Linked DNA regions of Arabidopsis thaliana. The protein of the gene in region 3 interacts with the protein of the main gene of each other region in a biochemical or structural test. Each region holds a gene or a part of one and is shown on either strand. Other genes may lie near its edges.

What was found.
Region 1: the proteins of AT1G14390 (region 3) and RHS16 form a complex in vitro, tested with the Arabidopsis thaliana proteins (one large-scale study listed by BioGRID).
Region 2: the proteins of AT1G14390 (region 3) and AT1G62950 form a complex in vitro, tested with the Arabidopsis thaliana proteins (one large-scale study listed by BioGRID).

What each region holds. Positions count from the first base shown.
Region 1 is NC_003075.7:14,383,653-14,387,410, reverse strand, and holds the start of RHS16 (root hair specific 16), read right to left. Parts: upstream 1,941-3,758; 5' UTR 1,781-1,940; coding exon 1,702-1,780; intron 1,422-1,701; coding exon 387-1,421; intron 287-386; coding exon 151-286; intron 90-150; coding exon of another isoform or gene 50-89; coding exon 1-49. Other genes in the region: ATMND1 (Mnd1 family protein), read right to left, coding at 2,283-2,387, 2,484-2,563, 2,660-2,704, 2,846-2,897, 2,979-3,041, 3,123-3,230, 3,330-3,368, 3,478-3,594.
Region 2 is NC_003070.9:23,312,815-23,316,572, reverse strand, and holds the start of AT1G62950 (leucine-rich repeat transmembrane protein kinase family protein), read right to left. Parts: upstream 1,703-3,758; 5' UTR 1,280-1,702; coding exon 111-1,279; intron 16-110; coding exon 1-15.
Region 3 is NC_003070.9:4,921,992-4,925,749, reverse strand, and holds the start of AT1G14390 (Leucine-rich repeat protein kinase family protein), read right to left. Parts: upstream 1,714-3,758; 5' UTR 1,474-1,713; coding exon 228-1,473; intron 152-227; coding exon 30-151; intron 1-29.

The DNA.
Region 1 (3,758 bases), on a different chromosome or scaffold from region 3:
TCTAAATGCGAACGCTATTGGTCCATGTAATCCACTTGAACTAAGATTTCTTCTCGCAGCAAAATACAGAAACAAGCTCATCAGCAAAACTTAAGTTTGAGGGAAATTACACAATGAGTTTTTTCAGGTTGAAATGAATGAATGACTTACAGGGACTTGATTTGATAACTAGAAGTGTTGTAGCTGCATCCAATACCTTCCCAAGGGAAGAGTCTGGGAGAGCAAGGATCACCAGTCCAAATCTTATTCACTTTATACGTTGATTTTATGCTTTCTATGGCTTGAACTGCATTACCAATAGAAAATGGAAAACTGTGAGTGTCAGTGAAAATTAAAGACCAGAACAAAATATACGTAGACGACTAACAAAGTAGAGATGAACACACCATCGTCAATTCTGGTGTAAAATTCATCCAGAGATTGTGCTGAAAAAATCTCAATAGCATTGAGTATTGGTGGACGCGTTGACTCTGCGGTCTTCTGAACAGAAATCCAGTGATCTTTACCAGTGAAAGCTCGTGAGTTAGACACTGTCATTGAATACTCAGGAGAGGGGTTAAAAGCTCCTGAAACAGGCGACCCATTCCAGAATATCTTGATTTCTCTGCTCTCATTCCTCTTGAGATTTTCAAGTTCTGCAAAATAAAGGTACGCATAAAACCGAGTATCTGGATCGCTTGATGTCCAAGACAGTTCCAATGGTTCATCGTCACTTTTAGGCGAAGCAGCTGTCTTAATAACTTCATCTGGTGGCCTATAACCAGACTGAAAAATATCGATATACCCAGTAGTCATAGTTGTATTCCAAGACACTGGAGAGTACGGAGACCAAATACGATCATATGTATCCTTTTGGTACCGTCCTGTTCCATTCAAATATCCTGTATCCCATCTTTGATAGAGTACCAATGAGACATTTCTTCCAAACTCAGTTCCATAGATGGAGCTGTTCATTGGTCGAAGCTCCAACGCTGAAATAAAAGGAGTTCCTTTACCTTTGTTCACAAGGCAAACATATATTGTATCTGACTCTGCAAAGCTGAGGATCTCCTTGATGACGTTCTCAGAAGCATTTCTGAGTTTCACCGAGGTCCAGAAATTCACGTTTACGTAGAGATCAAACTCAGGTAAAGCATTTTTACCATCGTAGTTTCCATACATAAACGAAGCTCTGATGAGATAAAGATTCCCTTTTCCATCGGAGGGGGTTAAGGTGTAACAGTTCCTGTTTCCTTGAGGAAAAGATCTTACATCAGCAAGCGGGAAAGGCAAAACCGGGTTTTTCGGGTAACCGTATTCTTCAGAGACGTTCAGATTTACTCCAGCGTTGATGAAAGGTGCATCCCAGGTGTAACTGATACCAGTATCAGTGTCTACATAGTTAATATTAGGGGGTGACCCACAATCTATGCTGATGAAACCTGGACCAGAAGAAGGTAAGGGTTTTGATTAATTCTACAACGTTGAGAAAATTTTCATCAAAATTCCAATGCAGGTTTAAATTTTAGAACCTAAAGCATTCAATCATAGAAACAGACTTGGACCTCACTTATCATGTCAAACCAATAATCAGAACACGGTTTTGGCCAAAATGCAACCACATATATCAAAACTTCAAAAATCTTTGGTCTGAAGATTGCTCATTTTCAAATCAAAACAGACTCTAACAGAGGAAAATAAGCGAGAATGAGACTCACGAACCTGCTTGGCCTTGGCCATGTACTACAATGGCAATGGCAATGACGGAAAAAAGGATGAGAAAAACAGAGTGAGCTCCCATGTTCTTCTTATTTTGTAAAGCTCAGCTCATCATCGTCAGAAAAACAGACAACCTGCGTTTAAGATAACACAAAAACACAAAAGACTAGAAAGTACAAAGTCTATGCCCATTTCCTCTTCTGGTAGCAACAAAATTGACCTGGAGGTGTATAACATAAGTGCTGCTCACGACTGAAAAAAGCGGCCAAGAAAGAATATAAAATGGTAATACAGCTATCAAGAAGTAACCAGTGGGTCAACAACTAACGCATGATATATATATAACTCCAATAAAATATTATAACAAAACATAGCCAAGCTTGGACATAGCCGACAGATACAAAGAAAATAAAAATCTTTTCTGACCACAGAATTTGTAACCGAGTTTTGACATTAGATGATTGGGTCACATAGAGAATTACAGACTGTTGCAACCTTTAAAACCAGAAAACTTAAAAGGATAGTGAAAAGATTTTTTACTTAAGCTATTGTTTCTTTAACTGTTATGCTGGAGAGTATTAGAACTAAGCTTCATCTTGTACTAGCTGCTTTGCGGTATCAGCTTCATGGGATGAGCTCAAAGGGAATGATGATAACTCTATGTAATCAAAGTCCTCAGTGATTCCCGCCTGAAAGTTACCCAGCTGATTTAGTCTCTCCTTCATGTATGAGAATGTGAAATGTGGAATTTATAGCCTTTTGAAGTGAAAAGATCTGGAAGATACCTCCGTGTATAGATGTTCTAGCTGTTCCTTGGCCTGGGGGAAGTTGTTTGAACACCATTGTCGCAGTGTGAAGATGTTATCTGAGTAAGTTTGAAAGAATTATAATCTAGGCTGCAGTGAAAATTACGTAAGTATTAAAACTGAAAACACATTCCCAAGTTTTAGAAATGAAATACCTGTCCATCTGTTAGCCGACTGGTGAGCAACTTCAATTGCATTCCCTGTCAAAATTAGAAGGAATATACACATTGATACAGCTAGTAAAGCACAAGATTGATTCTTATTTCTGCTCCACGAAGACCGGGAAAACCATATAGGAGATCTAACACAAAACAAAAGTAACGTATTATGCAGAACTTAACTCTTTGCCTCCAAAGTAGCTGGATCGTTGTCAGCAAATTGTACCATCTCGTTCTGTTTAAGAAGAAGAAACTGTTAGCAACTTGTTAAGCATGTGAATAGCTCTATGCAAACAGATAGTCTGTATAATCTGACCTTCAGATCTTTGTGTTTCTTTTCAATATCTTTGAGTTGCGTCAAGGCCTCTGTTCGTTCCTCCTGCAGCAAGAACAGCAATTCTGGTGAAAAGCACACGTAAGCTTATTCGAGCATTAATTCTACAATACTGAAAATACTTACCGATTCTTCCCTTCCCTTCTTTAGGGCCTCACACTGATCAACAAGTTCTGCTAACCTTTTGTTACTACCCTGAAGATCAGATTCAAGTTTCTGGCGAACACTCCTAAGCTGTTCATTCAAAATGAGATCAGAAACAATGAATTTCGCTATGCTCAAATTAATATGAATCTTTTTGATGTCATCTCAGGATACAGAACGGTGACTCACTTGATTGCCAGCACAGCTGGGAAGGCTCCAAAAGTAGATCTTCATTTGCAAAATAATGAACACCGTCAAACAACATATAACAGAGACAAGGACTATATGGCAACAAATGAAATAAAAAGATCCAACATAGGAACACTAAGCTACTCACAGAAATTCCAATCTTGTCTTTCGCAACAAGATCATCATCGACTAAACTCTGGATAACATCTTTCACAGACTGACTAATTACACCCTTCTTCGGCCCCATCTTCTCAAGTTCCTTTAGCTGAAATTTTTTTACAAAAGTAGAGACCCATAAGTGCTTGTATCACAAACCCAAAAGTTCAATAGCAACAAATTTAGGCAGTATATGCACTTCACGACTCTAGATATCAGATCACTTGGTAGATAAAGCTAGTTCAAAGGCGTCCAAAAATTAGCAAGTTGTAA
Region 2 (3,758 bases), about 18 Mb from region 3:
TTTCCAGAAACATCTCTACAACAAACAACAAAGATTAACAAAACTAAAAAGTTAGATAAACGAATCAAAAACTCACTAAATATCAGCATAGAAGAGATACAAAGACTCACAGTTCAAGAAGTAGTCTGCAGTTTGATAAATCCTCTGGTATTTCACCAACGAGATTGAGATTATGCAAATTCAAAACCTGTAGATACTCAAGATTTCCGAGCTCAAGTGGTAGCTTCCCATCTATAAAGTTATCGCCTAACCTGATCACAGAGAGCTTCTCCATCTTCCCCATACCTACAGGTACACTCCCATTGAGCCTATTCGATTCCAAGTCCAAAAGCTTAAGACTTTTGCATCCGGTTATACCGCTAGGTACATTACCAGTTAACTCATTCGAAGAAGCATCCAAAAACTCCAAACTTTCACTACAATCAACAATCTCACCAATCTCCCCTCTAAACCGGTTTCCAGACACATTAAAATAAGTCAGGTTCTTGAATCCAATAACCTCGAAAGACGCTACTCCATCGAAAGAATTGCTTCCTATATCGACATGACTCAATCTCTTACACTTCGATATCTCCTCAAACACATCACCAGACAACAAATTTCTTCTAACAGATACAAACTCAAGAACCGGAATATCGCAGATCCGAGGCAACAAACCGGTAATGCCATTGTAAGAGAAATCGAAACCAATGAGATTGTTACAGTTTACGATTGATTCAGGGATTGATCCTGAGAGATTGTTATGAGACAATGAAACAAACTTTGTCTTGTAACAGAATTTAAACAGAGAATTTGGAATCTCTCCAAAGAACGCATTTTTCGACAAATCCAAGAACCTTAAATTAGGCAAATCACCGATAAATTCAGGAACCAAACCAGACAATGCATTGGAACTAACATTGATCTTCCATAAAGTCTGTAACTTTAAGTAATCCAAAGGTAAATTACCTGTAATCCTGTTGCCAAACAGAGTCAAAACCCTTAAAGAAGTTAAACCAGACAATGCCGGCGTTAGGGTTCCGGCGAGACTAGTGTTCCAAAGAACGATCTTTTCGACGAATCCTTCTTGGTTACAAGATACACCATTGAAGCTGTTACAGAGGTCAGCATTAGAGACCCAAGAAGCTAAACTGTTGTACGGATCATCGTTGATGTTGTCTTTGAATTGAAGTAGAATCTCTCGTTCGGTAATAATAGAATCCGAGAAACTTCGAGATGATGTAATAATAATGTGAACGAATATGAACATTATTACCCAAATCAATTTCCCAATCTGCATTTGCGGTTATCGGATCCTAAACCGAACTCAAACCCGGTTAAGCTATTTCGTTAACAATTTCTTGATAAACGAAGAAGAAGAAGAACAAAAGCATGAAGAAGTAGCTGCATTTGCCTCGAGAAGAGAGTTTCAAGAAACATAGAATAAGATCTGGGTATTACCAGTCATAAGTTTCCGAACCAAACCCATTAATTTCTGGACACAAATCTATATAGAGAGAGATTTGAGAAAAGATGAGTGCGTGGAGAGTGTGCCTTGGCTGGAAAGTAAGTAAAGCAGGTGAAGCAATTTAATAGTCTGTCTCTTCTGCAGCAAAAGGTTTGGTTTTGTTTCCTCTCTCTCTCTGTCTCTCTATATACATCTGTGGCTTCCACCATGTGAACAAGAACCACGTGCAAGCTTATGTGTGTGTAAGTAAGTGTGTGTAATTTAAGAGTGGGAGAAGAAGGTGTCTGTTTGTCTTGTACCATCAAGCATTTATTCTTTGTTGCCTACACCAATCAAACCCTTCCATCAATGTATTTCAGAAACTATAAATAAGATAAAATAAATTTTTATGTATAATTTGATCATGTTTGTGATTCTACAGTTTTTAAGTTATTTATGAATGATACGAAATGTAGATTTTTTTAATCAAAAATTCTAAAAATATTATCTAATTATAGAATTAGTTTTCAAATTAATGATATTTCGCAAAACAAGTCTAACATTGTGAATTTGATTAAGTGATATCAATATTATTGTATATAGCTTTTGATTGCATAGAAATGTTGTATATACAATAGTTCATAGAGAGTCTATACAAATTGGTATTGTATAAACCAGTCTTAGATTTTCCGTTTAGTGGCTTCTGGTTTAGACCTTTATCAATTGTATATAAAACCTTAATTGTATTATTTATTATTTAATGAGAATAAGATTATTTTACCGAAAAATCTTATAAAAAACCTTCAAAGTAGCAACAACTTACACTTTAAAAACTTTCAAGATTTTGAACTCTCACAATAAACCATCAAAATAAAAAAATTGTTACTTTAAACCTTCAAAGTGGTTTTCGTATTCCCACAAAAATGGTTTTCGAATTCGTAATCCCACAAAAATTAATGGATAAATTAAATTTCTCACCCTTTATTTTCCGGTTTTGTAGACTTCTTCCATACAAAAGTTTAAAATCTATAAGGAAAAGCTTTTTCTGTTCTTTGTTTTGCTAGAAATTGGCGGAACTAATTATTTGAACATCCCAAAATGAACTCAACTAATATAAAAACATACACCAAAAGACAAACTTAAATATAGTGAACATCACTTAATTAAAGTGATACCTGACACGGAAGGAGTATGTAATACTAGTAAATGTTTAAAGATTTATCAAATAATCCCTTTAGGTCGGAAACCTAGAACAGTGCAGTAAATTCAAAATTACTCATATTAAAAAAAAAAACTATGCTTGAACAACAACAAAACTTCATTCCAAAGTTTCTTGTCAAAAAAGAGTTCAATTCCCAATTATGCCTTTTGTCGGATTTTTCTTTATAAATCTTTAGTTTTGTCCAAGCAACTGAGTACTATTTATAATCACTGTCGATTTCTTAGTGTAAATTCCTAGATACATCAATATTGCACTGTGAGTCTTTGAATCACTGAATCATAAATCCATAAAAGACTTAAAATGTTCTCTAATCTTCAGTATTTAATACCCCGTTGTCTTTTATTTGTATGAATTTATAATATGACCGTTGATTAAGTACGGTACTGTTTATATTTGTATATTTCGAAACATCAAAGTCTGACTACTGTTCCTAAGATTCTCTAGATTCTTCAAGTCTGACATAAAACAGAAGTACTAGGTGTTTGACCAATGCCCACAATTACAAAAAATGTTACTTCGATATAATCTGAATCTTGGAAAAAAATAAATATCTAAAGCATGCATACAAATATACAATTGAAATTTCATACATTTTCCCTGGTCTAGTGAGTATTGAAGTACTGAAGTAGTTATACATTGGAGAAAGTGAGAAAGTTGAATAAAAGAAAAGTAAAGTGAAAGACGATAAATTCTCCATCCTTGAGCTATTTCAAGTTTCAACTAGACAACTATTATCTTGGTTATATAATAAGGAACTATGAAGATTAAAAATTGAGAATTAGATTAGTACGATATCTTTGGTGATAGAGTTTATGTCCTATATTTTAGGAGTTTGTGTTTATATCTTGTTGAGTTCATTGTGAATAAATACTCATAGTTTGCGAATTAATGAAAGTAAGTCAGTTCAATATCTAATTCTACAGTATAACTTTTTACAGCATGAGAAAGCAGCGTGTTTTTGCGGTTTAAAATTGTTGTTCCGTGAGTTATATCAATGTTTTGATTAAAATCTTTCGAGGAGATAGTTTAATCTTTTTAGTTGTTGCGCGGTGCAGAATTGAACTGTAGAATTTCCTAATCAAGGAGCAATAATAAAAACCACAAAGAGTA
Region 3 (3,758 bases):
AATCATGTCTTATTTACATTTTCCTTTACCTGTTCTCCACAGAGATTCTCTGCATCAAAATTGTTGGTTGCTTCTTCCAGTTCCTCCAAAGAGAAAACTCGGTATGGTGATAGTCCAATCACCGCGGATCTCATGGTTTGCGGTACACGTCCTGCATTTGAAAAAATCAAGCTAGTTAGGTTAATGGGTGTGAAAACTTGATTCAAGATTTCAAAGTAATAGCCTACTTAGATCTGGTACTGTCTTTGATGTGGTGGACCTGGTGGTGTTGCTGCAAACAGTGACCTGATCGACGTTGTTTGCTTCCAAAGGCTCTTCTTTTGATCTTGATTTTCTCATCCTAACCAAAACCAAGCCAGCTAAAACCGCTGAAACGAGGATCACACCGATGATAATGCCAATCACCAATCCAAGTTCGATTCCTGTATCTTCTTCTTTCCTTTCTTTATCTTTAGTGTCAGACTTCACAGCAGCTACTGCTTGCTTTGCTTCGTTTTCACAGAAGGTAACTGGACGCTGATACTTTGCAGAAGGAGAACCATTTATAGACAAGCAATTGAATGTGAAGAGCAGTACTGTCTGTTTCTTGGAAGAGAAGCAAGATGGAAGCTTCCCAGTCAGAAGATTCCGAGAAACATCTAAAATTCTAAGCTTGGAGTTGCACAACGATGAATTTGGAAGTGATCCACTCAGCAAGTTTTGTGCTAAACTTAGATTCTGAAGCGAAGGAAGCGAAAGCAGGAATCTTGGGATTGAGCCAGTGAACTTGTTGGAGGAAAGATCTAAGCTCTGAAGCTTATTCAGCTTCTTGATCTGTTCTGGAATCTTTGATCCAAAAGAGTTGTTCTTCAATGAAATAGTAATCAAGTTACTTGCAAGTGAAGGAACAACTTCAGGACCGAGTTTATTACCGCCTAAATTCAGCTCTTGAAGATTCGACAATCCTCTGAGATCAGGAACACTTCCGTTAAACAAATTGTTCGCTAGAACAAGACTTCTCAGATTCTTCAACGACGAGATCTCTTTAGGAATATTCCCAGAGATGAAATTAGAACTGAGATTCAGAGATTGAAGAGATGAAGATAACCTGATGATCTGTGAAGGGAGAGGACCAGAGATGCCAAGAGAGACCAGAGACAATGTCTTTAAGTTTGAGAGTTTTGTAAGAACAGTGAATAGTGAGTCGCTTGAGAATCTTCCGGGGAGCTTAACGGTTCTGTTCCCCGTGACGGTTAATTCAGTTACATGACCATTGAAACAGAGGATTTTGAAAGAAGGAGAAGAAGGGAGGTAGCAGAAATTGGTCCAGTTGCTCCATGATCGAAGAGTTGGTGGATATTGTAAATGCTTTTGGATTTCTAATAGAGTTCTTGATTCACTTGATATTAGCTGTGATTCTGAGACTGATGGCAGAAGAAAAAGAAAGAGAAGAAAAGTGAGAGAAAAGGCCTGGCTTTTAGAGGAACTATGCATTCTCTCAGGAAGAATTACAGAGAAATTAGAAAGAAAGATGTTATTGTGGCTTAAGGAACAGAAGGTCTTTCTGTTATTGTAGCCGAGATTAGTGTTAGTATTTGTTTAGTAGTCTAAAAAAATGGTGTTTTGTACATAAATTCTAGAGATTTTTTTAGATCGGAAGCAGATTTTCTAGGGAAATTGGGAGATAAAAAAATGAAACAATGTTTTTGGGACAGAGCAAGAAACAAAATTAAGTGGAGAGAAGTTCTGCTGAGAAGAAGACAATAAATACAAATTTTGTTTAATTTTTGTTTCTTATGTTGATTGTTCATAAGTTTCACATTGACAGACTGTTTTACTGCTTCGAAGAAAGTGAATGAAATTTTTTAAAAGCATAAAATGAATTAGATCCTTAAAATACGTAAAATCCACATGAAATATCTGACTATTTATCTACTTTTGATCTAAAATTTCCACAATTTAGAGTTATTTATTTACTTCAACTGGTTCTTAATTAATTTCTCTGTTATGGTCAGAAGACCTTTCTTTATTACTCATATAACATGCATTTATTTGATACATAATACATGCATAAACATACAAATACATACATGTTTGACGAATAAATGTTGTGTAGTAGTACTTCTCTCGAAATCCGTTGATCTCTTCCCCAAGGTAAATTCTTTCATCTTTACCAATTTTTTAAAAAATATAAATGAATAAACTTACGAATAAATGTTTGTAGTTTCTTTTATAACATTTTAACTCCTGTAATATCAATACTACTTGTAAAATAACAAAAAATACATACTTAATTAATGAGCAACGTTGCATTAATTGTTAATGCATAGAGATTTGATAGATATATAGCGACCAGACAGTATGTAATAAAAGTCAACCAGACCAGTGAACGAGTTTTTTTACACGTGCTCTTTCGTCAATGTAAATATGTAATGATCAGATCGTGCCGTTAAGGATCATCCAAAGCCACCGTCGCAAGGAAAATCTAACCCCGTTCGTTGGATTAAAAGCTCAAATAAAGAATTACATGTCCTAACCAAATCTTTTTCTCGAACTACACTTTTAACCACTTGTTGTTTTTCTCGAAACCAGAAGGACACCAAATGATCATCTATATACAGTAAACCAACAAATGATATAAATCGTACTTCTTTTTTCTCGTGGTCATCAATCAACAATTCAATATCAAACTGTTACAAAAAATACCAATCTCAAACTAATAATACTACCAATTAGTTCGGCCATGATATATTTTCATCACTATTGTCGGTGAGAAATGAGTGTCATTTTGTTTTCGTGTGTTTGGAAAGTGTTGAGATTCTAACAAATGTTCAGCTGTTTTCTTTTTGGTGTGTGAATTGTGATGAACTGTCCATTACTTTCTCTTTTGTTCCTTTATTCTTTTTACATCGATCTCTCATTGTTCTTTACTTCTTTTTAAGTGGCCTGACGTGCGATCCTAATAAAAAGAAGGTTGGTTATATACAATTTTTGACAAAAACCAAAAAAGTTTTGTTGTATAAGAGGAATTATAGAAACCATGCATCACCAACACCAAGTAGTAAAAAGTTTCATCCCAAAACAAGTGACCGTCATCGTAGTAAGTTAAAAAAATGGCTGAAAACAAAAGTTTTCAAGTTCAAAATACAAGGTTTTATCAGAAGCACTCAAAACCAATATTTTGTCACAGCTTCCAAGTTTCCAAGTAATCATGATGAAAAAATATACTATTTTCTAAAAACAAAAAGGTAAGGGAAGATAAAATGCGAGTTTGCAAGCACATCACATGCAACTGCCTTTGTAATAAGCGACACTGCCAAAGTATCAATTAATATTATACAACATGCATTTCTTTTCAATTTTATATGCAGCTTTATTATTAAAATCCTTTGTCAGATAACTTACAAACTGTTATTTTTTGGGCTTATAGGCTTATTAAAGGTTAGAATTTAAACCCATATATGTATCCAACTAATTTAAGGCCCAAAATATGCATCTTTAGGTCCATATAAATTAGGCATGTTCAAAATAAATTACCCAAATTATATAGCATATAGTTGAATAAATTCAGAAAAAAAAAAATATCATAAAGTTTACACTGTAGTTTAGTTGTGACATAAAATTTGCTAATGTAAAGTTATCCACAAAAAAAATTCAAACATTTTAAGATATTCATTTCTTAAAACCAGGATTCAACTTCGAACAGAATCAAATCTAAACTTTATTATAGTGATAATTTAATCATGTTTCTTTCACATTCGTTTATGAAACGTCAAAAA